7 linked regions of the Macaca fascicularis genome follow. The protein of the gene in region 6 interacts with the protein of the main gene of each other region in a biochemical or structural test. Links are inferred from orthologs where the notes say so. Each region holds a gene or a part of one and is shown on either strand. Other genes may lie near its edges. The genes, in order: PLD1, RTKN, ARHGAP32, KCTD13, ARHGAP35, RHOA and MCF2.

The links.
Region 1: the proteins of RHOA (region 6) and PLD1 form a complex in vitro, tested with the Homo sapiens proteins (2 studies listed by BioGRID, with this or other methods). The link is inferred for Macaca fascicularis from reciprocal best matches to the Homo sapiens genes RHOA and PLD1.
Region 2: the proteins of RHOA (region 6) and RTKN form a complex in vitro, tested with the Homo sapiens proteins (8 studies listed by BioGRID). The link is inferred for Macaca fascicularis from reciprocal best matches to the Homo sapiens genes RHOA and RTKN.
Region 3: of the proteins of RHOA (region 6) and ARHGAP32, one has a biochemical effect on the other in vitro, tested with the Homo sapiens proteins (3 studies listed by BioGRID). The link is inferred for Macaca fascicularis from reciprocal best matches to the Homo sapiens genes RHOA and ARHGAP32.
Region 4: of the proteins of RHOA (region 6) and KCTD13, one has a biochemical effect on the other in vitro, tested with the Homo sapiens proteins (2 studies listed by BioGRID, with this or other methods). The link is inferred for Macaca fascicularis from reciprocal best matches to the Homo sapiens genes RHOA and KCTD13.
Region 5: the proteins of RHOA (region 6) and ARHGAP35 form a complex in vitro, tested with the Homo sapiens proteins (3 studies listed by BioGRID). The link is inferred for Macaca fascicularis from reciprocal best matches to the Homo sapiens genes RHOA and ARHGAP35.
Region 7: the proteins of RHOA (region 6) and MCF2 form a complex in vitro, tested with the Homo sapiens proteins (2 studies listed by BioGRID). The link is inferred for Macaca fascicularis from reciprocal best matches to the Homo sapiens genes RHOA and MCF2.

The regions. Positions count from the first base shown.
Region 1 is NC_088376.1:83,081,727-83,085,327, forward strand, and holds part of PLD1 (phospholipase D1), read right to left. Parts: intron 1,584-3,601; coding exon 1,466-1,583; intron 1-1,465. UniProt on the Homo sapiens protein: Function as phospholipase selective for phosphatidylcholine. Implicated as a critical step in numerous cellular pathways, including signal transduction, membrane trafficking, and the regulation of mitosis.
Region 2 is NC_088387.1:47,504,303-47,508,499, reverse strand, and holds the start of RTKN (rhotekin), read right to left. Parts: upstream 2,847-4,197; 5' UTR 2,752-2,846; coding exon 2,576-2,751; exon of another isoform or gene 2,397-2,575; coding exon 2,133-2,396; intron 1,002-2,132; exon of another isoform or gene 779-1,001; intron 408-778; exon of another isoform or gene 53-407; coding exon of another isoform or gene 1-52. UniProt on the Homo sapiens protein: Mediates Rho signaling to activate NF-kappa-B and may confer increased resistance to apoptosis to cells in gastric tumorigenesis. May play a novel role in the organization of septin structures.
Region 3 is NC_088388.1:127,704,093-127,708,166, forward strand, and holds the start of ARHGAP32 (rho GTPase-activating protein 32), read right to left. Parts: upstream 2,808-4,074; 5' UTR 2,648-2,807; coding exon 2,490-2,647; intron 1-2,489. UniProt on the Homo sapiens protein: GTPase-activating protein (GAP) promoting GTP hydrolysis on RHOA, CDC42 and RAC1 small GTPases. May be involved in the differentiation of neuronal cells during the formation of neurite extensions.
Region 4 is NC_088394.1:28,174,740-28,178,979, forward strand, and holds the start of KCTD13 (BTB/POZ domain-containing adapter for CUL3-mediated RhoA degradation protein 1), read left to right. Parts: upstream 1-1,363; 5' UTR 1,364-1,545; coding exon 1,546-1,789; intron 1,790-4,197; coding exon 4,198-4,240. UniProt on the Homo sapiens protein: Substrate-specific adapter of a BCR (BTB-CUL3-RBX1) E3 ubiquitin-protein ligase complex required for synaptic transmission.
Region 5 is NC_088393.1:54,850,843-54,854,875, reverse strand, and holds the start of ARHGAP35 (rho GTPase-activating protein 35), read right to left. Parts: upstream 2,906-4,033; 5' UTR 2,687-2,905; intron 1-2,686.
Region 6 is NC_088376.1:112,365,594-112,369,198, forward strand, and holds part of RHOA (transforming protein RhoA), read right to left. Parts: intron 348-3,605; coding exon 227-347; intron 1-226. UniProt on the Homo sapiens protein: Small GTPase which cycles between an active GTP-bound and an inactive GDP-bound state.
Region 7 is NC_088395.1:145,854,649-145,858,253, reverse strand, and holds part of MCF2 (proto-oncogene DBL), read left to right. Parts: intron 1-27; coding exon 28-249; intron 250-3,605. UniProt on the Homo sapiens protein: Guanine nucleotide exchange factor (GEF) that modulates the Rho family of GTPases. Promotes the conversion of some member of the Rho family GTPase from the GDP-bound to the GTP-bound form. Isoform 1 exhibits no activity toward RHOA, RAC1 or CDC42.

The sequences.
Region 1 (3,601 bases), about 29 Mb from region 6:
AATCACAATACTATTCTCACACCTAAGAAAATTAATTATATAATGTCATTTAAGTTATGCTTCATATTCAAATTTATCCTGTTATCCCCAAAATGTCTTTTATAGATGTTTTCCCCCAAATCCAGGACTCAAATAAGGCTGTGCACTGCATTTGTAAAATTACATTTTAATGACTCTATGCACATGGCCTACTTGATCACAGCCTTCAGTCCTCAGGATGAAATAAGGTTATACAGGGGCCAGGAGCATTGGGTCATGCCTGTAATCCCGGCACTTTGAGAGGCTAAGGTGGGTGGATCACTTGAGGTCAGGAGTTCAAGACCAGCCTGTATAATACAAAAATTAGACGAGTGTGGTGGGCACCTGTAGTCCCAGCTACTCGGGAGGCTGAGGCAGGAGAATCACTTGAACCCAGGAGGTAGAGATTGCAGTGAGCCGAGATCATGCCACTGCACTCCAGCCTGGGCAACACAGCGAGACTCCATGTCAATTTAAAGAAAAAAGAAAGAAAGAAAGAAAAGAAAAGAAATAAAGTTATACAGATAGTAGACATGTTTCAGTAAGAGTAAGTCTCTCTGCTGGAAGGAGCTCTAAGACAAAAATTGCGTATTTTCCCTAATGTTTTTAAAAGAGGTTCACGTCTGTACCTGGAAATCATGAAGAAGAACACAGACTTCTCCAGCTTCTCACAGATGGTCAATTAGTCTTGGCTAGAACACAGCTTGTATATTTTTCCCTGATGGGCAACTAGCTACTTTTTGAAGTAACTTGTTCCACTGTTACACAACTCTGAACTCTTTTACATTTTTTATTATAACCAAAGGGTAGACTTCACAGGCGATACATTTGGTATGCATCAAATGGAGCTGGTGTTAAAACACCTTTCTAAAACTAGAGCTGTCCAACAAATGACATGTCTTGTTATTAATATTAACAAGCTTCATCATAAGGATGAATACTGTTTACTATACACTATGTGCTAAAAACATTCACTAGACTATTCTTTGTCCTCATAACTACCCTTGTGAATATTCCTCCCAATTTATAGGAGAGGAAAAAGAAATTCAGAAAGTCAAGTCACTATATACAAGGTTATAATACCAGCAAATTGAGCTAGGCTGGACTCAGCTGTGGCTTATTTTTTGATGTCATCTGCCCCTCTTCTCTTTGTCACTAGACATGTACAAAGGCTGGGTAACCAGGTGCTAAGGATGCTGCCGATGGGATTCCTGCGTCACAGGAGAGATTAGAATGCTGCTAAAGACTTTTCTAAACCAAAATCCATGATGCTTTTTGCTGTTGTTTTTCAGGGTCCACAAAGAGGCATTTTATTACAACCTGGAAATGTATTAGTTTTTTTACATGTATTAAGAATACCCTGTACCGATAATATGCAGAAATAACAATATGCTTTTTGTGATGAGATTCAGTGAAAAGAAAGGGGGGAGGAATATGTGAACTTCACCTTGTCATAAATTGTAGCATTTCGAGCTGCTGTTGAAACCCACACCTCCTTGAAGAATTTGTCACTCACTGGATCCTGAATGTCCTCACTTGGGTCATCAAGATAGCCAAGGACGACCCTGAAATACAAGTGACCTTCACATTGAGTAACTGGGATAAAGCAGTTTGTTGCAGGATATATGTCTATTATTACCTATCTCTATATATGCAAATATATATATATACATATATGCAAATTATTTGAGAGACCATGACCTGGCTACTCGCATATCCTCAGAGTGCCTGACATAAAAGGAACTATTATCTGAACTGACCTTACATAAACAGGGGACTAGACATAACAAAAACTTCTCAAGCAAATGAGACAAGTTTTAGAAGTGATATTTGAAAATTATAATAACCCTTGTACTTAGAGAAGCCTTTAGGATTAAAAAGCACTTTCACCTTAATCCTGTGTGGTAGACAGGACAGATGATTCTTATTCTGTAGATGGGAAACTAACATCTCAAGGCACACTAGTAATGGAGCTAGAACTCAAACTAAGGGCAAAGTCCTTTTCCCACATACTTGATGGGCTGAAATAATACCAAGAAGACCTGTGCTATCTGGAAAGAGCAATAGGAAAATTGGCCTTGTAAGGGCTTTGGCTTTTATATTAAATGAAATGGAGAGTGTAGACGTCAGTGCAGAGGAGTGACAGAATCTGACTTACATATTAAAATACAGCTGCTGTATTGAGAACACACTCTAGGGTGCAAGGGTTGAAACAGGAAGCCCATTTAGGAGTTACTCCCATAATCCATGTGAGATACGATGGTGGCTTGGGCCTGGGTGGCAGTGGAGATGAAGATAGACCCAACAGGTTTTACTGACAGAGTGAATGTGTAGGGTGTGTCAAAAAGTGAGGCGTCAAAGATGACTGCAAGGTTTTTGTCTTGAGCAACTATAATAATGTACAACTGTAGTCGCCTTTAGCTGAGATAGGGAATTCTGTGGGTAGAGCTGGTTTGTGGGAGATCAGGAATTCGATTTTGAGCCTATTGAGACATTTATAAAGACGCAAGTGGCAGTGCTGAGTAGGCAGCAGATAAATGCAACTGGGGTTTGGGAGAGAAGGCTTGTTTAGAGATATAAATCTGAGAATTGTCCTCACGCATGTGCTCAAAGGCTGTATTTTTTTCTGAGTTCACCAAATAAGTGAGGACAGACAGAGGAGAGGACTGGGTGCACATCAACAGTAAGGGAGAGGAGGAGGAACCAGTGAGGCTGGAGAAAAGCCAGAGGATGTGGGATCCTGAAACCACACAAAGAAGTATATCAAGGAGAGCTGTCCAATTCAGATAAGAATTGACCACCGGATTTAACAACTAGACATCATTATATTGTTACCCTCTTTGTATTTAAATAAATGTAGATTTGCATCATCATTTTAATGGCTGCAGAGTTTCCTATCATGTGAAATTTATTGAACCAATTATTTTATTACCGACTTTTGGGTAATTTCCAATTTCCCATTATTATAAACAGTGTTCCAGTGAACATAGTTGATTCATCAAAAGTGATTTTGTACATTTCTGTGATTATTTCATTAGAAGAAATTTTAGAATTAAAATTCTTGGGTCGGAGAATATGCAAATTACTGCAAGAAAGGCTGTACCAAAAACAAACACTATTAAGCATGCATATGTTCCCAGTGTTCTCCAACATTATCAACTCCTGAAAAAGTACAATTCTGTAGATATTAAAGGACACTCATTTTAGTTTTAGTCTGCACTATTTCCACTATATAAAAAATTTTTTTAATGGATCTGGCACCATAGGATTCTTGACTTTTATAACCTCAAAGTTCTGTTTCCACTTCAAATAATGCCTCCTTCAGACTACGTGACAATAACTTTTTTAAAAAAAGATTTAAGAGATGTTTGCACATAGACATTGGCTGCTAATTGAGACCCAAAGCAAAATTTTACTGCATCAAATGTGAATGACAGTACAAATGATGACAGTAAGTCAATTATTATAATACCTGTGATTTGGGCCAGATTTAAGAAGCTGAAAATTGAGCAGAAAGAGTTTTTCTGTGACTTTGTTTTTAAATTAGAGCAAGAGATAAGCCAATGTGTCCACCAAACTATCA
Region 2 (4,197 bases), on a different chromosome or scaffold from region 6:
GCCGAATGTAGAGCATATTCAGGTCCTCCAGGATGTGCAATCTGTCCTGCATCTCTGTGCCCCCCAGTGCCCTTTCCTTTGTCAGCCCCTCCAGAGGGGGGACAGACAGGTACCACACTGTCCCACAGTTCCTCCTCCCACTGTTCCCTCAGTCTTTAAAGAGGTGGCCAGCTCTTGGGCAGAGGTCAGAGGCTGCCCTTATCCCTCTGCACTCCTGTTAAACCTCTCTGGCTGCTGTGACAAATTTTCCTCGCCCACTGCTGCTCCGGGGCCCTGCTGTGAGCCAGGCAGGGAAAAAAAGGAAAGCGAAGTGAGGATGAGTGGGGTCCCAGGAGGAAAGGCCAGCTGCAGAGGGGGCTCTAGGCACAGAGTGTCCAGTCTCGCTTTGGTGGCAGCTGTTCTCCCAGCTGTGGAAGAAAAAGGCCCTTTCATTCCGACTCTGGCCGCTCCCCAGCCCCCGCCCACATCCCTGGCCTGGTGGACAGAGAATCTATGTGTGGAGAGGGCAGTGAGGGGCAGGCACAACTGGAAGGGGGCAGGGAAACGACGCCTCATGCAGGTTCTAGAGCCATAGGGCTTGCAGGAGGTTGGAGCTTTCCGAGAGGGGTTCCGGCTTAGTTTGAGAAAGTTAGGAAAAAGAGCCACAGAGGTGAGGACCTCAGGGGAGAGTGAGCCCAGGGAGCCCAGGACAAAGGGGTGAGGTGGTAAAGCAGCCCAGCCCCAGGGCCACCCCTTCCAACTCAGGGCCCCCATCCAGCCCGCTCCACCCTGGACTCACAATTACCTCGCTTTTCCAGAGAAGGGAGGAGAGGGAGAGAGGAAAGCAGGGGTGTGCCTGTCTGCTGCTGTCCCGCTCCCTTCTGCAGGCCCCTTCCCTTCCAGACAGGAAACCAGCCCCGAATCCCAGCCAGCTGCAGCCTAGCGCCCCCGCCTCCACGCCAGGCCCACGGAGTCACACTCCACTCGGCGGCCGCCGGGCTCTGCGGCTCCGCCCCAGCTCCTCCGAGCTGTCCCCGAAGGCCAGGCTAATCCCAGGGGCGGCCCCAGCTCCCAGGCCCCTCCTCCTGGTCCCAGGCCTCGCCCCTTACTGCCCCACGCTGGCCCCACGCGGGTTCCTCGGGCCCAGTCGCTTGGGGGCAAGGGGACCCGACAAAGGCCCCCTCTCCGCAGGCCCACCAGCTTCTGAATCAGAGAAGGCACGGGACACCGGGACAAGGGTGTGAAAGAGCCTTTGTTCTGGGCAGGCTGGAGGGAAAGGGCAGAAGCCAGGCCTGGAATCCCAGCCGGGAGGGCGAGGGGGCGGGAGGAAGGCCCACCTCACTTAACCCTTTCCAGACCCGGAAGGGAAGGCTTGGAACTGGGCTCTCCTTGGGCGAGTGTGAGTCTGACCTTGGGGACAGAAGAGTCTTCGGGATAGCTATTCGCCCTGTTAGTCCCCGCTCAACCACACACCTTCAGCCCCGCCCTAGCCTCTAGGGCTTTACAGGTGGGGCTCCAACCGGTTAACGCGTGGACGGTGGACGGGGGAAACGCTCAGCCTAGGGGCTGGACTCCTCTTAGGCACCAGGAAAGGAGGCGGAAATTTTGCGTGTGGGAAGTAACCCCAAAGAGTTAAAAGCCCTGCAGGGGCATAGAGGAGCCTTTGAATTGGGCTTCCGAGAAGCGAGCCACCCCGGCCTAAAGTCGGGATTGATGACAGGCTGGCCCAGATGGCTGCGACAGGTTGTGGGATGGGGCTGGCGGCAGGGGAACAAGCGGGAGCCCAGGCCAAGAGTCCGAGCGTTTGGGGCCCGCCTAGTTGCCCACTGCCCTTGGCCTGGGGATACCCAGGACATTTTGGGGTCCAGGCACATTTTGGGAGTCGAGCTGGGGCCCTACAAATGGAGACCAACCTGGCTTTTTCCAGGCTCAGGCAAATCATCCTAACCAGGCCGGGGAATGGGCAGCACGGATCCAGTGAAAATGCAGACCGTCCACACCTTACTTTTCAAGTCAACAACTCCGTCGGGTTTGTACCCAGACAGTGCGTCCCCGTCCCTCGGCGTCCACGCGGGCGAGGGAAGGAGGCCGAGGTGGCTGGGGCTGCCCCCGGGATTCCGCGGAAGGGGAAGGCAGGGACGCGGGTCTCTCACCTCGGGCGGGTCGCTGAAGAGGCTGAGTCGGAAGCGGCCGCGTTTGAACTCCATCTCCAGGGCGGAGCCCCTGGCCACGGTGACCCGGCTCCGGTGGTTTCGGGAGAACATGTTGGCTGCCCTGCGACTTCGCCTGCGCAGTGCGCTCCCCGCGCCGCCCGGCTTAGTCTCCTCTCCGCGGCTTCTGTCTCTCGACGCTTGCCCGCCAGTCCGGCCGGGAATCTCCCGCTGCGGGGCTCCAAACCCCGCCCCCGGAGACGACACCTGGGCCGGGCAGGGCGCGGCAACCTCCTCTTCCACCCCCGCCAAAGGCCCAGCCCGTCCGCCCAGTCCCTGGGCGCCAAGCCGACCTGGCCCGACGGCCCCGGAGCCAGAGGCGCCCTGCACCTCGCGAGCACTGCGGAGGCGCGTTCTCCCTGCCCGCGCGGGTCGCAAGCGCTTACCTGGACTTGGGGCGGGCTGAGAAGCCCTGCCCCGCCAGCCGCCCCCGCCTGGCAAGCCTGGCTTCACGGGCGCTGAAAACCCCGTGGCCAAGGGATCGCCGCGTAGCACGTTCCGGCTCTACTCGGGCCCTGGGACCTTGCCCAGTTTCAATCCCGGCAGCCTCTGAAGAGACCATTTCAACATCCCACAGTCCCGAATATTCCTTCTTCGTCCCCCTCCCCACTTAGGCTCCTCTGCGAGGCTATCCGCCAAAGCCTAGTGGCCACAACTGATGAGGCGGTGCTTAAACACGTCGTGAAACCCCAGCTCTGCCACTGACTCACCTTGCAGTCATTGACTTGGTCCAGTCATTGGCCTTTCTGAGCTTCAGTTTTCTCATCTGTTCAGTGGGAATACTGTAATTATCACCTCTTCTCAAGTTGCTATGAGGATTACCTAGAAGAATGAGGGTAAAATGCCCAGCATAGTGCCTGGCACAAGGCAAGTGCCCCATATTTGCAGCCATAAAGAGCAGCCGGGCGCGGTGCAATCCCAGCACTTTGGGAGGCTTAGGAGGGTGGATCACAGGTTCGAGACCAGCCTGACCAAAATGGAGAAACCCCGTCTCTACTAAAATACAACATTTAGCCGGCCGTAGTGGCGCATGCCTGTAATCCCAGCTACTTGAGAGGCTGAGGCAGGAGAATTGCTTGAACCCAGGAAGCAGAGGTTGTGGTGAGCTGAGACTGTGCTACTGCACTCCAGTCTGGGAAACAAGAGCAAAACTACATCTCAAAAAAAAAAAAAAGACTGGGCACAGTGGCTCAAGTCTGTAATTCTAGCACTTTGGGAGGCCAAGGGGGACTGATTACTTGAGCTCAGGAGTTGGAGACCAGCCTGGGCAACATGGTGAAATCCTGTCTCAACAAAACACACACACACAGACACACACACAAATTAGCCTGGCCTGGTGGTGGTGCATACCTGTAGTCCCAGCTACTCGGGAGCCTAAGGTGGGAGGATGGCTTGAGCCCAAAAGCTCAAGTCCAGCCTGGGCAACATAGTGGGACCCCATCACTTTTTTTTTTTTTTTTTTTTTTTGAGATGGAGTCTCGCTCTGTCACCCAGGCTGGAGTGCAGTGCCCGGATCTCAGCTCACTGCAAGCTCCCCCTCCCAGGTTTACACCATTCTCCTGCCTCAGCCTCCCGAGTAGCTGGGACTACAGGTGCCCGCCACCTTGCCCGGCTAGTTTTTTGTATTTTTTTTTTAGTAGAGACGGGGTTTCACTGTGTTAGCCAGGATGGTCTCGATCTCCTGACCTCGTGATCCGCCCGTCTCGGCCTCCCAAAGTGCTGGGATTACAGGCTTGAGCCACCGTGCCCAGCCAAGGACCCTATCTCTTAAAAAGCATTACAAATATATATTACTTTTTATTTTTTATTTTTTATTTTTTTGAGACAGAGTCTCGCTCTGTCACCCAGGCTGGAGTGCAATGGCATGATCTCGGCTCACTGCAACCTCTGCCTCCTGGGTTCAATCGATTATCCTGCCTCAGCCTCCCGAGTAGCTGGGATTACAGGTGTCTGCCACCACGTCTGGCTAATTTTTGTATTTTCAGTAGAGACGGGGTTACACCATGTT
Region 3 (4,074 bases), on a different chromosome or scaffold from region 6:
TACCGATTACTAGCTTCACACTACAAGTAAGATTCAGAAAATGAGAGATCTGCAAGTCAATGGCAGACAAGTTTAAACTACCTCCATGACGGAGACTGGCAACTTCCCATAGTGCAAGAATGTAATAAAAAGGATCCTTTCATCCAACTGAGTCCAAAAATAAATGCTATTTCCAAAGCTACTGGACAAACATTAACTTGTCTCTGAGAGTACTTCCTCCTAAAGCAGATGGCACCTGGAAGCACCAGAGGCCTACATTCTAGGTGCGGTGTGACTTTACTCTCTTAGCCATGGTGCCTCAACTTACACAAGAGCAGGCTTTTAGGAGTGCATTTAAAATGTAGTTTAGAAGCTATTCAGGGAAAAAGAAAAGTGCACAACCTTTTGCCCTCATCTCATTAGTTGTGTGTGTGTATGTGAATGGAAATGTAACCAATACGACAGCTTGGTGTCACATGTATTATAGCAGAGATTTTTACAAAAACTCATTAAGACATTTTTTTAATTATTACATTAATTTTACAAAAACAACGGTCATACCACACTGAGTCTACTATTTGGTCCTCCCAAGGTTACAGCTGCAAGTTCTATCCGATCCTTCCCCTTCCACACCCACACATCCATTTTCCTGCAAGGCATCTCGCAGGAAGCCACCACGAGGTTGTGACACCACCCTGCTGCCGCATTTCCTCATGCCCCACTGCTGAATGTGTGAGAAACACTACATGAAATTGGGCCTTGCCCACACCTCATTGTTACATTTGTAAATAAAATAAGATCAAATTGCAAAGATGTAACTGATTGAGGAGAGCCATGGTGCTATTCAGATAGGAAATACAACTATAAACAGAAGACAAATGCCCTATGGTATCACAGTTTCCTTAAACAACACATCACTAGCTCAGTTTCTCAGAATGAAAATGCTGTCACATACTCCCAAGGAAAAGAAGAGCTCAGTCTTACACAAATTTGCTTTTAAATGTCAAAAGAAAATCCGAGAGAGACACCCACTGACTAACAAGTAAATCTAGGATTACAGTACCAAATTTGTTATAAAAACAACGACGAAATAAGTTCCAAGTGGTTTCTTCCTTTGACAAATACCCAAATAACTTCCACAATTTGAACACCAGGTCAAAAAGTTTTATTACAAACAAAACAAATACTTTATTCCTACTCATTGTTAGCAAGACACAAACCATATTAAAAAGCAGAAGATGTGACTAACAATTAGCAGACCTTGGAAGGGAAGGGACTTACTCAAATTTGAAAGGCTAAATAAAATTATGAGAAAATGAGAAAGTTCAGACAAAAAATAATCATATGCTAATAAAATAATTCATTTTTATACTCTGAAAATTATTCTTTTAAAATTTAAAATATACTTCTCATTTATTTGAACCCCTGAGTAAAAAATTTAGTGAGGGTTATCAAGAGTTCCCAATATTCAATCCCTTCCATCATTTAACCTAGACTTTAAAAAATAAAATTTGTGGATAAAGAAATCCTTTGACTAGAGAAAAGGAGAAACTCTTTTTCAGCATTAAACACAAAGACAGTATCTGACGAAAATAGTATATTCACCTATCCGAGTTCTCATAGGTAAACTTACAAAAGATGTTTAATTGCACGTGAGTGGCAGTGATGACATGCAGTGCAAACTTCAAACTTCATCAAGAGATTTTGTGATGCTCTAAAAGTATTAAATTGCTAACTCTGAATGAAAAAGAAAAGCCAGAATAAAGTCCCTTAAAATTTGCAACAGTACAACAGAATGAATGAAACACTGGTTCTGTTCTCACAAACTGGTTAAGACATCTTTCTTCACCACTGACACTAAACTGAGAGTTGCTTCATCAGGAGGCATCCTCTAAAAACTTCAATTATGAAGTTATTAATACTACCAGAGATTCAAAATCCAAGAGAGATTTGGGGGAAGGGGGGGTGTGAGATATAAGATCAGAGGCAAGGGTAAGGACCAAAGTCACAAAATAACCAATCTGTACTTAATCAAAATTTTTTATACCCATGCATAAGGCCAACAAAGCAGGCAGGCACGCAGACACACACACACACACACACACACACACACACACACACACACACCACATTCCAAGAAAAAGAGGAAGAAAAATCTATTAGATACAAATTCAGATCAAATCTATTTGATACAAATCAGATACAGGAAGGGGTAGTAGTTCATTATGAGTCTCTACTTGAAATTCCTGAAAGGCTACTACAAAACCTGTCTAACACCTTCTCCTCCTGGTGTTCTAACAAGCCATGTAAAATGCATTTTACAAGTCCAGGGCAAGTTCTGGAATGAGGAGTGCTATATACAACTCAAAACCTGCCCCCTTCAGCTCCAAACCTTCCCCCAGAAAACAGAAAGTCTTATTGGAAAAGAGACTGAAATGCAGAGAAGAAAAAGGGGTGCGGGTGGGGGTAGGGAGTGAAGAGGACAAAGGAACTGTGAATTCCATAGTTACCTGAACTTCTCTTCCCTTTCTTCCTCTTCACAGTCAGTCACCTGGACTGTAACTTCAGACTCCAACCAGAAGACACTGTCATCCCCTGAAGTGCTACTCTCACTTTCAGTCTCCATCTTGTATTTAAAAAAGAAAAACACAACTAGACCTCCAGGCATGGAATAAAAAGCACCAATATTCAGGCTGTTCAGCTCTACTTATGTATACTCAGACGTGTGGCTGGTACCCCAGTGACAGGTACTGGTGCTGGTTTAATTACAGTCAGGGTACAGACAGGAAATCACAGGCAGCACAGTCACTGCGTCTGACTGCCATACTGGGTGACACCTAGACCCTCCCACTGCCTTAGGCTGCGTGACCTACATAACCAAAAGCAGAATCCAAATGAAGGTGATTTTTTACTAATTATTCTGTAATAATGACTTTTCTCAAAGTTTCCACTTAGTAAGTTAAAAATAGGTATTTTCAAATTGCAAGCTTTATTTGTGTCCTTTTTTTGATCTCAGACTCCAGAAAGGTAAACAGAAAACTAGAAAGAACAACACCATCCACGGGCCAAGCACATGAGAACCACAGTTATAGATCTCACAGTTAAGGAGGCTCACAATAAGTAGAGAAGATAAGTATGCTCTAGGGACCTGCCTAGGTTCATGCCTTCCAATATTATACCCATCTTTCCTTCCTCTCAGTAAGGACTGCCATATGCATCTCTGCTCAAGTATCCAGAGTGAGACATAAAAGCTGGGCTTGTCCACAATCCTCGAAAGAAAAAGTTTAAGTGTCACACGTTCAAAGATGCTGACAATAACCTCAAAAAAAAAGCATGCAAAGTTTTTACACATTTAAACTGCAAACAGTCACGGTGGCAATAAAATGACTTGCTGGGAAATGAGTGAAATATAGCATCCATGACTGTCAACAACACAACTGTTACTTAGAAAAGAGCCATGTTGACAGAAACTATTGACCTGTTGGATATTCATGGCTATTTGTCTTTTACTGAGCAGCAACAAACTGCAAAGCCCTCACCTTCCATTGTATCTGATTAACTTAAAAATTAAAAAGACATCCACTGATGTCTTCTTGAATTTTCACGTTTGAAAATAAAAACCCAAGCACAGTGGCTCACACCTGTAATCCCAACACTTTGGGAGGCTGAGATGGATGCATCGCTTGAGCTCAGGAGTTCAAGACCAGCCTGGGCAACGTAGCGAGACCTCATCTCTATGGGGGTTAAAAAAGCAGCCAAGTGTGGTGGTGTACCCTGTAGTCCCAGCTACTCAGGAGGCTGAGGTGGGAGGATCGCCTGGGCCTCGGAGTTCAAAGCTGTTGTGAGCCATAATCATGCCACTGCACTCCAGCCTGGGCAACACAGCAAGACTCTGTCTCAAAATATATATATATAAATTTTAAAAACTTTTCAAATAAAATTTTTTAAACCAAGAACAGCAACAACATTATGAGCAAAGTCAAAATGCAAACAAGTTGAGAAAAAAATATTTGAAACATATCACAAAGGGTTTATTTATTTCAAATATAAAAAGTTCTTACAAATTTCTAAGGCCCAAGAACACAAAAGATAAAT
Region 4 (4,240 bases), on a different chromosome or scaffold from region 6:
CATCAGTCAAAGAGGGACCTTGTCTGATGTTTTTTGTGAAATTATGCTCAACAGGACACCACCATGGCCTCACTGTTGGTGCCAGGCCAGCTCCTAGCAACATCAAGGCTTCTGGAGTGAGGGTGCAAACCAGCTCCCAGCTGGCAGCAGTTGCTTTCCTCTTTTACACCGCCACACTCAAAATCAGAATTGGCAACCCCTTTGGTAGAACATGAGCTCCTGGTCACTATAAGCCCACTTATACCCAGTAACGGGCCTACGTCACTCATTTACACTCTGACCTCTCTCCTGCGAGGTTGGTGATTGCACCAACCACGCCCAGAGAAAAGTCACTCTTCCAGCATCTCCCAGGGACCTGCTGGCAGGGCTGAAGATAGAACTCTGACTCTGTGTTTTCCCTCCAGCAACTTCCCTTGCTAGACATTGAAGTGGATTGTTAAATCCCTGACGTATCGGCTTCTAAACTGGATGCAGATAGGGTCAGATAAAAACACTTCTCAGTGCACCTTCTTGTCAACAGTGGGTTCCTATCTTTTCTTCTTTCTTTTGGGATTGGGTGCTAGGTCCCATGACATTAGCTAGGATTCTAAGACCTTTGCTCAGCTGCTGCTGCCACCACTGACACGCACTCTGCTCCTCAAATACGGAGAGCGTGTTCCTGCCTTGAGGATCTTTGCATTTGCCTTCCCTCTGCTTGGAACTCTTCCCTCACATCCGCTTCCTAGCTTCAGCTCGGCATCACCTCCTCAGAGAGGCCTTCTATCCTTGGTGCCCGGGCACCACTGCTACCCCTTTTGGCTTCTTTTTTTTTTTTTTTTTTTTTAAAGGATGCTATGTTGCCCAAGCTGGAGTGCAGTGGTCCGATCATGTATTAACTTCAGCTTCCAACTCCTGGCTTCAAGCGTTCCTCCTGCCTCGGCCTCCCGAGTAGCTAGGCTTACAGACTGGGGTTACAGGTGTGAGCCACCGCGCCCGGCCGCTTTGGCCTCCTTTAAGAGCTTCCCTCCGCGCTTTGTTCCAGTTCTCGTCACGGTCTGTTCAGTGCGCGGGGTTGGGAGGCGGGAAACTGCCCAATGCCCAGACCTCACGGTCTGTTTCTCCTCAAGCTCGTGAAGCTCTCTGACAGCAGAGACCCAATCACGAGGCGGAGACTTAGCCTTCCACATCGGCCAGCGGGTCGGCCGCATCCTCGATCTGGTCTTGGGGACTCGAGACCAGAGGGAAGAGCACGTCGACCCGCCCGGGGGACCTTAGGGCCACACGCCACCTATCCACCGGCTTCCCCAGCAAGCCCACTGCGCATGCTCCATACTCCAGCCCCGTCCCCATTCAGGGGCGGGCCGCGCCTGCGCAGCTACCCGGCACTGGCTTCCGGGTGGTGCGAGCGAGATGGGGCGGAGGGCCGGTCTCGCTGAGTAGAGGCGGTGAGTGGGCGTGTGCGCGGAGCGGTCTGGCCCGAGGGCTAGGGGCTGGCCGAGGGTCTTCGGGAGCAGGTCGCAGGGCGCGGAGAGAGCCTGGGATCGCCGTCTGCCGCTGCTACCCGGTATGTCGGCGGAGGCCTCGGGCCCGGCGGCCCCCGCGGCCCCGTCCCTGGAAGCCCCCAAGCCCTCGGGTCTCGAGCCTGGCCCCGCCGCCTACGGTCTCAAGCCGCTAACCCCGAACAGCAAATACGTGAAGCTGAACGTGGGCGGCTCGCTGCACTACACCACGCTGCGCACCCTCACGGGACAGGACACCATGCTGAAGGCCATGTTCAGCGGCCGCGTGGAGGTGCTGACCGATGCCGGAGGTACTAGCGGCGCCCCCACCGTGCCCCCATCCCCAGATCCCCAACTCCCGTTCCCCTCAGTCTCTCACCAACGGGGCTCCTCATGCCCCTTCTCTCTGCCCGCTGCTGTCCCGTCAACTCATTCTCAGCTCCCTCCAGCCCCGACATCCCATCTTCTCGCCTTTTCTCATTCATAATTTCTCTTCTCCTCCCCCAATCCTTTACCCCCAGCAATAACCAACACTTACGGAACCCCTAACTCTGCCAGGCGCTGTGGTAAGTGATTGAACGTGTCAGTTCATAATCCTCATGACTACCTCTCCCACCCTTCACGTCTCAGCTCAAGACTTGGGAACCAGCCCTGCTGCCTGCAGTACTACTCCTGGCAGCCTTCATCAGTTTCCTCCGACCGCCCAGCCTTTTGTTTCCCTCTCTGCTTCAGAACTGCTAACAACCAGCCAGGAGGGCTGGGAGATCTTGTCTGCCTCTGTGTTCCCCTGACACAGGTCCCTGTACGCTCTAGGAATCCATCTGTATATACACATTGCAGAAGGAGGCTGCTTTGGGTTTGCCAGGGACACCAGAGTGGAGGGTGGACAGGTGTCCTTGGCAGGTGAACCTTACCTTCTTGGAGTGTTGTATTCAAGTTTGGACCCTTCGTGCCCAAGTGAGACCTTGAAGTTTTGGAGTTTGGGAGTGGGAGAGTCTTAAGGGAGGGGTTAACAAGGACTGTGAGAGCAGTAGAATAAAAACTTGGGAGGCGGAGATCTGCCTTCAGGTATCAAAGGTGAAGAATTCGGCCAGGCACGGTGGCTCAAGCCTATAATCCCCGCACTTTGGGAGGCCAAGGCGGGTGGATCACCAGAGGTCAGGAGTTTGACACCAGCCTGACCAATATGGCGAAACTCCGTCTCTACTAAAAATACAAAAATTAGCCGGGCGTGGTGGTGTGCGCCTGTAGCCCAGCTACTTGCGAGGCTGAGACAGGAGAATCGCTTGAACCTGGGAGGCAGAGGTTGCAGTGAGCCGAGTCGGCGCCACTGCACTCCAGCCTGGGTGACAGAGTGAGACTCTGTCTCAGAAAAAAAAAAGGAAGAATTCATTTGTCCAATGAGTATTTGTAAAATATCAGTTAGTGCTGGAGATAGGTAAATGAACCTGACAAAATTATATAACTTCCCTTTTTTTAGGGAGGTGAGAGATCGGAAGACCAATAAGCAAGTAAACAAAATGTATATGCATATGCAATTGCAGATAGTAGTAAGTTCTTTCTTTTTTTTTTTTTTTTGATAGTAAGTTCTATGAAGAATATAAAAGTTAAAATGGCAGTGAACTGGACGGGGGAGGTAGACATTTTAATTAAATAGAATGGTGAGAATTAGCATCGGGGGTTAGCGGTTTATTGATAAGGTAATTCTGCAAGAACTTTCTCGTGGTGAGAGTCTTCTGACTGTAGACCAGATTTGGATGAATTAATTCTCTGGCTGGATATGTATAAACTTATGAGAGAACTCGCTGGAGATGTTTTAAAGAGATTTCTTGGCTGTGGCACAGGCTTGAGACAGATCAGTATTCAGACTTTTTTGTGGCTTTGGAATCCTTTTTCTTTTCTTTTCTTTTTTTTTTTTTTTTGAGATGGAGTTTCGCTCTTGTTGCCCAGGCTGTCTCGGCTCACCACAACCTCCGCCTCTCAGGTTCAAGCGATTCTCCTGCCTCAGCCTCCTGAGTAGTTGGGATTACAGGCATGCGCCACCACGCCTGGCTAATTTTGTGTTTTTATTAAAGACGGGGTTTCTCCATGTTGGTCAGGCTGGTCTCGAACTCCTGACCTCAGGTGATCCGCCCACCTCGGCCTCCTAAAGTGCTAGGATTACAGGCCTAAGTCACCACGCCTGGCCTTCTTTTCTTTTTCTTTTTCTTTTTTCTTTTTATTGTTTTGAGACGGAGTTTCCGTCTTATTGCCCAGGGAGTGCAATGGCGCGATTTCGGCTCACTGCAAACTCCACCTCCCAGGTTCAAGCTGTTCTCCTGCCTCACCCTCCCAAGTAGCTGGCATGCGTCACCAAGCCCAGCTAATTTTGTATTTTTAGTAGAGATGGGGTTTCTCCATGTTGGTCAGGCTGGTCTCAAACTCCTGACTTGAGGTGATCTACCCGCCTCAGCCTCCTAAAGTGTTGGAATTACAGGTGTGAATCACTACACCTGGCTGGAATCCTTTTTTCTTATAATTTAGGCCAGGTTTGGTGGCTCACGCCTATAATCCAAGTGTTTGGGAGGCTGAGATGGGAGGATCACTTGAGCCCAGGAGTTTGAGACCAGCCTGGGCAACATAGTGAGACTCCGTCTCTACAAAAAAATAATTTTTAATTTAGTAGTTCCAGGTCACTCAGCAAAGCCATCTTTCCCCCTGCTTCTCCCCACCCCACTAGGTTGGGTGCTGATTGACCGGAGCGGCCGCCACTTTGGTACAAT
Region 5 (4,033 bases), on a different chromosome or scaffold from region 6:
CTCACCATTTTGAAGACCAGGAAGCTGGAGCCTTCCCTGGAGCAGAGGTGAAAAAGAAATAATAAGCCCACCTTCCCCATCCCCTCCCCCAAGGTCACACTGCAAACCAGAGGCCATTAGGGAAGGCAAGACTGTAGCTTCCCTAGGTCCAAGTGTGGCCATAACCCCCAGTGGGATCGGGAGAATCTGAGAACTGGCATTTCCCCAGCTAGAGGTAAAACAAAATGACTTGTCAGCTGGGGGAAAAAAAAGCACACTCCTAGGGGTGCTGGCTTAGAGGTGGAATAGGAGACAGGGTACTGTATGCAACCGCTCAGAGAAGGAAAGAGGGAAAGTGAGAAAGAGAATAAAGATCTGTGAGCAGCTGCAATCCCCTTTTCCAAAGGACACAAAGCTGCAGAGCCCAGAAATCGGAAGGGGGAGAGCAAACAGCAGAGAAAAGAAAATGGGGCAACGGAAAGAGATCTACCTCCCTCCACACTACTAACCTAGTGGAAGTGGGAGAAATGGGGGAGACACTCCCAGACTCCACAGAGCAGTAACAATCAACCAACTCCCACCTATTTACCCAGATCTCTCAGGATCCCTGGGGATAGAACCCTCAGGGTTAGGGTGCAGAGAGAGAATCTGCAGTCTCAGAGCCTGAGAGCCTAAGGCCCAATCCAGCCCCTTTGCCTCTGCAGCAGAGGGATGGAAAACAGAGAAAGACATGCCTGAAAGGGGAAGTGCTCAATGGGGAATGGGTGGGCCACGGGTGGTGAGCTGCGATGAGCAGGTCTGATAGGAACTAAATGGGAAGAGGAGCCTGCCAAGATACAAGGGGAAAGGGAAAAAAAAAAAGGTGAGGAAGGAAACAAGTCCAAGACGAACAGAATTGGGAGAGGGATATCAAAGGTGAGTAAGGGGAGTGAGAATCTATCACAGCACTGAGGCAGCTCCAAGAGGAAGGTGGGGGGGATACATAGGAAAGAATGATTAAGAAGACATCTTAATGTCACAATTGGAGGGAGTGAGAACTCCAAAAGAAGACAAGAGGCAGGGCAGTGGACGGGGGGGCAAATAAAGCAGAGTGAAGGGTGAAGGCTGAATCAAAATGGTGGGGGGAAGAGAATGTCATGTGGAAAACTTAAGACTCGGGAGGGAACAGAGAGGGGACACAGTGACAAGAACCCCAGTGTTAAAGGACCGCTCCAAGCGCGGACGGCAATACAGAAGTTAAAAACCGGTCTAAAAACATGCGGGCAAGTGGACAGCTCCGAAACAGCCGAGCTGGGGAGGGAAACACTAAATAGAGGATGGGGCAGAATTGAAAAAAACGAGGAGAAAGTGCAGGTACAAAATGGATCTAGGGGCAGGTCTGTGAGATGCACAACGGGAAGGGGATGGGTGACCAGCCCGGGAGGTATCAGAGGTATAGTGACGTTAAAGGGCATGTCTAAGGGCTAAAACGGGGAGGAGAGGAGTTGGAGCAAAGGGGACAGGAAGCAGTTTTTAGGCAGAGAACTGAAGGAGATACAGGCCAAAGAAAGGAGTAGCAAATGCATGCAGTAGCTCAGAGAAGTGCCAAAAAGGAGGTGGGGGAAACAGGAAACCTCCAAGAGAACACTGGGGCTGAAACTGAAGGCAGTCTGAGTTAGGGAGAGATCAGTTGAGTGAACAGCAGAAATGGGAGACCTGCAGAGTCAGAGAAGCGGGAGGAGGCTGCTTCCCGGGAAGGCAGTCAGAAGCAAGCAGGTGAGGGGAGCGCAGCAAGATCTGAGGTCGGGCAATGGGCAGAGCTAAGAGGCAGAAAGGTATGGAAGAGAGGAAAGGGTCTGAATGGCAAACGGTAACAAGAGCTGAGAAGGGGAAGAGGCAAGCACGGTGCAGCCAAGTCCGAGGGGATCAGGGGAATGAACTGGGGCACGGAAGGGTCAGAAGGCCAGCCGAGGGGCATCCCGGGGTGCAGCAGGCTCTGTGAGAGGGCAGACAGAAATGCAGATAGTAGGGCCCACGAGGGAACCGGATTAAGTCCAAGGGGAAGACCTGGGGCAGCAGTGCCTGGTTGAACAGGGGTCTCAGATGGATCTCCAAGGGGTTGGAACCGCAGGTCCTAAAGGGACAGCTCCCAGGGTGCAACATATTCTGAGACAAGAATAATAGCACAGCAGGTAGGTCAAAGAAGGGGCCGAGGACAGATCTGAAGGGTGGTGAGAGCAGAATCGAGAAGAAGCAGAAGGGTCACGGATCTCAAAAGTGGGAGCCACAATTAAGGGATGCAGAATGGTCAATGAGAAAAAGGTGGGTCCCAAGAGCACTGCAGAGCCCGGGAGGAGCGAAGGGCATTATGGAGGGGTGGAAGAGGGAAGGGGGTCGCAGAATTGGGAGCCGGATGGCTGAAGTCGGAGAGGCTCTGAGGCAGACACCGAGATCCCAACTGATCGGGGGTGGGGGCGGCAGCGAGGACAGCAGGGCTGCGGCGGGCAGGGGTAGGTCCAAAGGGCAGAAAGGCCCCACGGGCCGGGCCGACGCGCGAAGCGACGGGGACGGCGGGGCCCGGGGAGCTGGGGGGGCCGCTCCTCCCCTCCCCCTCCAGCTCCTCCATTGTTCGCGGGCTCCGGGCCCCGCCGTCCCCGCCTCCCCCTGGACCCCTCAGCGGGGCGGCGCCCGGCCTCGCCGCCCGGGGCCCGTGAGCTCGCGCACTCACCAGCTGGGCGCCCTCAGCGCGGCCCCGGCCTCCAGGATCCCGGCAGCAACGACGGGGGCCCCGGCGCCATGTTCCCCTGCTCCTAGTCCAGCGGCTGCTGAGGCGGCGGCGGCGGCGGCGGCTCCGGCGGCGGGGGGCCGGGCGGACCCTCCCTCGCGGGTTCCCTCCTCCGCCTCCTCCACCTCCTCCTGCCGCCGCGCCGCGGCTCTCCCTCGGGGCGGGGGGCGGGGAGGGGAAGGGGGGAGGGGCGGGAACCAGGGGGAGGGCGGACCAGCCTCGCTCACTCCCTCCCTCCCTCCCTCCCTCACTCGCAATGGCGGCAGCGGCTGCACCTCCTTCCTGCGACGGCCGCTCCCGCGCGCGCGCCCCCTCGCTACTGCGCGTGCGCGGCGCGTGGACCGTTGCAGGGGGATAACGGCCCCTGGGCGCGCGCCGCGAAGGGACGACCAGCGAGGCAGTGGGGAGAGGTCAGAGCGCGTGCGCACCCGAGGGTCTCACTGCCACCGCCGCTGCCTGAGGTTAGGAACCGCCGCGGACGGTGCAGTGCGCGTGCACCCCCAAAAATGCAGCTACTGCGGCGGCCGCCGTCGTGACTGAGCTCTAGGCGAGCTGCAAACGAGCAGAGGGAGCGGGGTGGGGGAGCGCGCGTGCGCGGGGGGCTGCCAGCCAGCGCAGCTGTTGGCGCAGGGCAGAGGGAGTGGCCCGCAGGAGGAGCGCGCGTCTCCGCGCGCGCCTCAAGCAGCCGATCTGCCACCTCGCGCTGGCTTCTGGAGAAAGCCGAAGGAGAGAGGCATGGCCCGGTTTTGGGGGTGGGGGGCGAAGGGCGCGATCCCGCTCGCGCGGGACCTGAGCAGCCAATGGGAAGCAACGGGAGGTGGGTTTGCCGCGCGAGCCGCAGCCCCCGGGATAACGGAGGAGGCCAGAAGGAGCGACGTAACGTGGGGCGGTGGGGCGGGGCTGAGAAGGAGGGAGCCCACCAGAGAGGGAGTTGATTGGAGGATATGAGGAGGCGTGGCCCGCCTCAGCCCAATCCGAGCCCCGCAATTCGTCGTCCCGGAAGAAGAGGCGGGGATGGAGAGCGCGTGCTCTTTCTCCTGGCTGTGAAGAAAATCCGCAGCCAACGCGCGCGTCCTTGCAACTTGTTTTTGGTTCTGTGATCGCCTGATCCCCAGGAGAGGGAAGACGGCCTGGTACTGTGTGCAGCCCAAGCCTGTCACTTAGCATTGTGCAAATGACTACAAATCAAATGTCAATTAGGGCGCCTGAAAGGAAAAGAGTAGTGATGGGAGAGGGCACCGCTGTAACCCTTGACTCCTCTGAACTGAGGAGGTGTTCCTCTGGGACTCC
Region 6 (3,605 bases):
TTATAGGTGTGAGCCACCGTGCCCTGCCTAGGTGGATACATTTTAAATAAAGTAGCCATGGGAAACCTAGGCTGAAAGGGACCCAAGGCCCACACTCTACAGTCCTAAACTCCAGGACTCTAGCCACTGATGATTGCTTCTCTGAAGTTCATGTCTGCTTTTCAGCCACTTGATGCCCAGAAACCAGATGCCAACCAGTTACACAGGCAAATGCAGGGCCACTCACCTAAACTATCAGGGCTGTCGATGGAAAAACACATCAGTATAACATCGGTATCTGGGTAGGAGAGGGGCCTCAGGCGATCATAATCTTCCTGCCCAGCTGTGTCCCACAAAGCCAACTCTACCTGTAATGGGAAAAACAACCACAAAAATGCAAGGTTAATCCCCCTACCCACTTTTAGAAAAAGTGACACTTACCATAGTACACTGAAATGGCAGACGGTCTAAAACAGTAAAACACAGGAGTATTTACATTTTTTCTTTTTTTTTTTTTGAGATGGAGTCTCACTCTGTTGCCCAGGCTGGAGTGCAGTGGCACGATCTTGGCTCAAGCAAGCTTCGCCCCCGGGTTCACACCATTCTCCTACCTCAGCCTCTTAAGTAGCTGGGACTACAGGCACCCGCCACCACGCCTGGCTAATTTTTTGTATTTTAGTAGAGACAGGGTTTCACCGTGTTAGCCAGGATGGTCTCGTTCTCCTGACCTCGTGATCTGCCCGCCTTGGCCTCCCAAACTGCTGGGATTACAGGCGTGAGCCACTGTGCCCAGTTGAGTATTTACTTTTATGAGCATCAAGCTCAAATGAGAGTATATTTAAATTATTTTACGTTGAAATTTCTCAAAATTGAAAATCTGAGAGCCTATCTCTACAAAAAAACCTTAAAAATTAGCTGAGTGTGGCCACGCGCAGTAGCTCACGCCTGTAATCCCAGCACTTTGGGAGGCCGAGGCAGGCTGATTGCCTGAGCTCAGGAGTTTGAGACCAGCCTGGGCAACACGGTGAAACCCCGTCCCTACTAAAATACAAAATAAATTAGCCGGGCATGGCAGCGTGTGCCTGTAGTCCCAGCTACTCAGGAGGCTGAGGCAGGAGAACTGCTTGAACTCGAGAGGCGGAGGTTGCAGTGAGCCGAGATCGCGCCACTGCACTCCAGCACTCTAGCCTGGACGACAGAGCGAGCCTCTGTCTCTAGAAAAAAATAAATATAAAATAAATAAAAATTAGCTGAGTGTGGGCCGGGCGCGGTAGCTCACACCTGTAATCCCAGCACTTTGGGAGGCCAAGGTAGACAGATCACCTGAGGTCGGAAGTTTGAGACCAGCCTGACCAACATGGAGAACCTCCATCTCTACTAAAAATACAAAATTACCCGGGCATGGTGAAGCATGCCTGTAATCCCAGCTACTCAGGAGGCTGAGGCAGGAGAATCGCTTGAACCCGGGAGGCGGAGGTTGCAATGAGCCGAGATTGCGCCGTTGCACTCTAGCCTGGCCAACAGGAGCGAAAGTCCGTCTCAAAAAAAAAAAAAAAAATTAGCTGACTGTGGTGGTGCATGCCTGTAGTCCCAGCTACTTGGGAGACTGAGGTGGGAGGACTGCTTGAGCCTGGGAGGCGGAGGCTGTAGTAAGCAGAGATTGTGCACTCCATCCTAGGGAGGGAGACCTTGTCTCAATTAGGAAAAAAACAAAACAGATACTAGAACTGAACCAAGTGGCATAATTCAAAATGTCAAATCAAAAATAACTTTGTAACTTATAAAAGTGTTTAATTATAAGTAACATTGTACTAGGAAAGAAAGCAGACAGGAGGGAAGAAGTCAAATTTTAAATAACATTCCACCAGGCATACAGGCAAGAGAGGAAGATACAAGACTAAGTAAATTTTCTGCTATAATGTGGAAACCATGGAGACAAATCTGTATTTTGAGTTGGTAGGCAGGAAAAGACACCATGCTGGGTGTTAGGCAAGGCCTGAGATGCCTGAGATGACAGCAAAGTCCTTTTGGCTATGCCTTTACTACTCAAGAAATGGCTGAAATAATGCATCACATAAGGTGAGAGAGTACTCCTTTCACATCCGGGTACATCCTCACCCTTCTGTGGTAGAAGGGTAAACTAATGCCTGGGCTCTGAACACAAGTCCCATTCAACACTGTCCAGCACTGCAGCCAGCTCTGCTACCCCTTCTTATCACCAAACTCCATGTTAAACGTTGTTAAACATCCTCTGTACAGAGGCCCTTTGAGGCCCAAGAGGTTTCCCTCCAATACTTGGAACACATCTTTCTTCTCTTAGCACCTCCACAGCCCAAATTTCAGTTTCCAAATGATTTCTTCCCTAAAACTGACAGTTCTTCTACCCCCCAACTTTTGCCCCAGGATGCATCATCACAAAGAACCGCCACAAGGCCCACCGTACTTCTGTCATGCACACCATCATGTGTAACAAAGATATACTGATGCCCAATTATCACAATCTGTCTGTCCTCACAATAATGGAGCCCATTTACAAATCCCACTCTCTCAGCCCCCTCCACCCCACGGTGTTCATATATTCAGCCTCTATTGGCGCCTGATAAAATGCTGCCAAAGTGTTGAGCCTGTCTCATATCAAAAGGAGCCTTTTCATTGTGAGCCGGCCTACTCTTGGTACCATAATCACCTACAATCTTGTATGGTTCCCTAGGCTGTCCTACTGCATACTGTTTTTTTGTGTTTTTTTCCTGTTTGTTTTGCTTTTGGTTTTTTTTTTTTTTTTTTTTTAAACAGAGTTTTGCTCTTGTCGCCCAGGCTGGAGTGCAGTGGCGGTCAGCTCACTGCAACCTCTGCCTCCCAGGTTCAAGTGAATCTCCTGCCTCAGCCTAAGGCACACCCAGCTAATTTTTTGTATTTTTAGTAGAGATGGGGTTTTGCCATGTTGGGCAGGCTGGTCTCAAACTCCTGACCTCTGGTGATCCTCCCACATCAGCCTCCCAAGGTGCTGGGATTACAGGTGTGAGCTATGGTGTCCAGCCTTGTACTATTACATACTGTTAAATGAATATTCCTACACAGTACCCTCTCCCATCTTGGGGACTCTTGAGTCGCTCTGAGGCAGGCAGGTAGCCTGTGATATGCTCTTTAATCAAACACTTTTATTCCGGGGGACTCTCCTCAATTGAGGACCTCCCCCTATCTTGCGAGGGTCAGTGATGTCCAACGTTTGCAGCACAAGATTCTCACAGACCATGCCTCAAGGTTTTAAGTCAAGATCTCTAAATCTGTTATGGGCAAGATTCTGGTTGTTCCAAGATGCCCAGGCAGAGATGATGTTTCCAAGAGAACCTAAGAGCTGCTTCCAAAACATACATACTGCCACAGGTGGAAAAGACTCTTCCAGTTCATGCTCACAGACATGCAGCAACTAACGGCCACTCTCTGGAGAAAATGTTAGGATACAACCAGTAATACACATTCACTAGGCTTTTGAGAAATGAGCTATGAAAATGCCAACCTACCATTGCTTCCCCAAGCCAATGGATCTTTCTATGTATGGTGTATCAATCTAAGATAAGAGGGCTATTACTTGACACCAATCCTGAAGATGTCATCACATTTCTACC
Region 7 (3,605 bases), on a different chromosome or scaffold from region 6:
CTAATGGGTTTTGATTTTCCATTCTAGGGAAACTTAAATGAACTGGGCAAGATGATAATGCAAGGTGGATTCAGTGTTTGGGTAGGACACAAGAAAGGTGCTACAAAAATGAAGGATTTGGCTAGATTCAAACCAATGCAGCGACATCTTTTCTTGTATGAAAAAGCCATTGTTTTTTGCAAAAGGCGTGTTGAAAGTGGAGAAGGCTCTGATAGATACCCATCATACAGTTTTAAACACTGTTGGAAAGTAAGACAATTTGTATCGGGTAATGTAGTATTGTTTCGTGTGTGTGTGTGTGTGTGTGTGTGTGTGTGTGTGTGTGTCTCCCAGTTTGCACATTTTTTTTTGTTTCAAATAGTACATTTTATACTGTAGCTGCACATCTTTGTTGTTTTTTTTTTTAAATCTTAAGTCTTATGTAGAGGTCAGATGAATCATAACTTCTCTGCTTGAAGTGAAGGTGAGGGAATTCATAGCTTTGATTCCTGCCTTTCTTCTCACTACGATATTAGGTATTCCCCAAGGGGGCCCCCTAGCATCCCGAAGAGCATGGCTTGAGATTATGAGGAGTGTCCCGGCCTCCTCAGAAGCACTCTCTTTCCAGTGGCACTGGGTGAAGTTCTTGGTCTTATTAGAAAGGAGCCTTATGCTGCAGGAGAGACAGGGAGGAAAGAGTTGCCTCCTTTTCCTCAATGCAATTTAAAAATGGATAACTTTTGTATCTAGCATGTCCCCACCTTCCTTTCCATGTTCCTCCTCCATTCCCTAACTCCACCCTTCCTGGGTGTTCAAAGCCACCTATAGCTGAATCCTTTCCATATCTATCCTGTTCCATCTTTCAAAATTACTTTATTCTCTCCTATAAACTAAAATCCCCATTTTTTTCCTAATATTAGTTTGTTATTAAAATGAGAACAGTTTTGTTTGGGGAAGTTATTGACAACCCAATGATACTTAACAGCTGGTTTCTCCATTAGAGAAGAGGAACTTCCAATTCACATGATACCCATAATTGACAAATTTGAAGTTTTTTTTACATCTAATGAATTTCATCTTTTGAATTTTAAATTCTAAAACCAATATAACATTTGTCACAGAAAATTTCAAAAATAGAGAAAATGATTGTCCTTAATTCACCAACCACTATCACATTAGTCACTTTTCATGAGCATGTTCTTTCATGGTTCTCATCACCAGTATATTTGACAATTGATAAAATTTTCAGCAGCAGTTATAAAGTGGACAGGCAATATGTTTTGAGACAGGCATGAGGTGTTTGTATTAGGAGACTACCTATAAGCAGGCCTTGCTTTTGATTCTTCCCATAGGATCAGCAGCCCCTAGTTGTTTCTAACAAGGTTCCTGCCCAGGGTCAGGTCAAAAAGAAGTAGTTCTTCCTATCATCTATTTTCCCTGCTTCACTCTGAACCCACAGCAGCTTCTTTAAAACTCTTGTTTTCATCCAGTTGCTCCTTTGATTTTAGCAGTCCACCTCTAAGCCCCCAAATCTCAAAGGGCCTTCTAAGTCATTAACAAACATTGATTGAGAACCAAAAACTTGTAATCTATGTCACAGAGGGCTCAAATCTCTTGCTGTCTATATACCTATTCCTTGGGAATGTACTTTACCTTCATAGGCATATTTGACCCAAATCCATTTGATGTACATTTTATTGTGAGGTGACCTAATTTCTACCTAATACAGTATTTCTATTTCATATTAAGTTTCTATTTTACCTTTAATTTGTTACAATGATGGACATGCCAACAAAAGGTTTCTTGAGTACATTAAAGTAAGGGGGATATTAGGTGATTAAGTCATGAGAACTGAAACTGCAGTTAAGTACCATGGAAACAGAGAAGGTGGGATAGATGCAAGAAACATTTCAATAGAAAGTAGACAGATGGGCTTGATGACTTACTAGCTACAAAAATTAAATAATACCTGACATTGAAGGAAGAAAATCTTTCTGATTCTTCTTTGGTTCCCCAGTAATGCCGAATATCCTTAATAAAAAACATTAGCCAGTGATGCCTATAAGGCTTTAGACCAGGATTCCTGGGAAAATGGTGATACCACTGAAAATTAGGATATTTCTTAGGGTTCACTATGCTCACTTCTGCTTGCCTGCTTATCATGAGATTCCAGCATTAAGCAATTGCTAGCATTCCTAGTCAATGTGTTGTTTAACAATTTGGGTTATTGTTTTCAAAGTCTTACCCTTTTTAGAGAGGATCATAACCTTCTCTCTCACTTTTTTGTAACTTTTGTTTTAGATTCAGGGGGTACATCTGCAGGTTTGTTACCTGGCTGTATTGCATGATGTTGAGGTTTGGGGTACAAATATCCCATCACCCAGGTACTGAGCATTGTCCCCAAGAGTTAGTTTTCCAACCCTTGTCCCTCCCCCTCCATCCCTCCTCTGGTAGTCCCCAGTGTCTGTTGTTGCCTTTGTCTATGTCTCTCACTTTAAATGAACTCTTGTTTTGACTGCACCATACAAACCTGGAACCCCATGGCCTGACCATGTACTTTCTAATGATTTATATGTTATATTTTAAGTTGGCCACTTATATACAAGGAAAGGCCCTATCTAAAGTCAAAGTTCACCAGATGGGGAGATTCAAGTCCTTCAGATTCCTTAGTTCATGTGTTTATTATCATTGATTTTTAAAAATTTAACAAACCTGCACATAGTCCTTACTATGTGCAATACATAATGGTTAGATTTCCAGGGCAACTCAGAAAAGTTCACTTAATCGATAATGATGTACTAGATGTTTGCAATAAAAAATAACAAAAAAATTGCAATTTAAATAGGGGAAGGAGTAGAAAGCAAATTCATACTTTATTTTTTTTATTTTTTTATTTTTTGAGATGGAGTCTAGCTCTGTCGCCCAGGCTGGAGTGCAGTGGCCGGATCTCAGCTCACTGCAAGCTCCGCCTCCCGGGTTTATGCCATTCTCCTGCCTCAGCCTCCCGAGTAGCTGGGACTACAGGCGCCCGCCACCTCGCCCGGCTAGTTTTTTGTATTTTTTAGTAGAGACAGGGTTTCACCGTGTTAGCCAGGATGGTCTCGATCTCCTGACCTCGTGATCCGCCCGTCTCGGCCTCCCAAAGTGCTGGGATTACAGGCTTGAGCCACCGTGCCCGGCCTATTCAAATTCATACTTTAAAAAGCTCATTATAGAATCTAAGCATTTACTCCATGCTATTTAGTCCTTATATCAACCCTATGAAATAGATGTTCTTTCCATTTTATAGTTGAGGAAACTGAAGTTTAGAAAAGTTAAGCAACTTGCACCAAGACATATAGCTAGCAAGTGAATAGTAGAGATGTATTCCAATCCAGACCTCTCTAACTTCAAAGCCTGTGTGCCTTCCGGCTTATCATGTTATTAAGATAAAACCATGTAATGAAACAAAATTAATTTTTAAAAATATTGAATATGAGATCACTATTCATCTTAAATTGTGGTATTTGAGCGGAAGTAGGTTAGTTGGAATGGTGGAGTGAGAATATAAAGATAGTTTGGGACACTGTGAAAATAACTTCTTACTTACATTCAGGGTGGATGTCACGGGTTCTTTCATTAATATG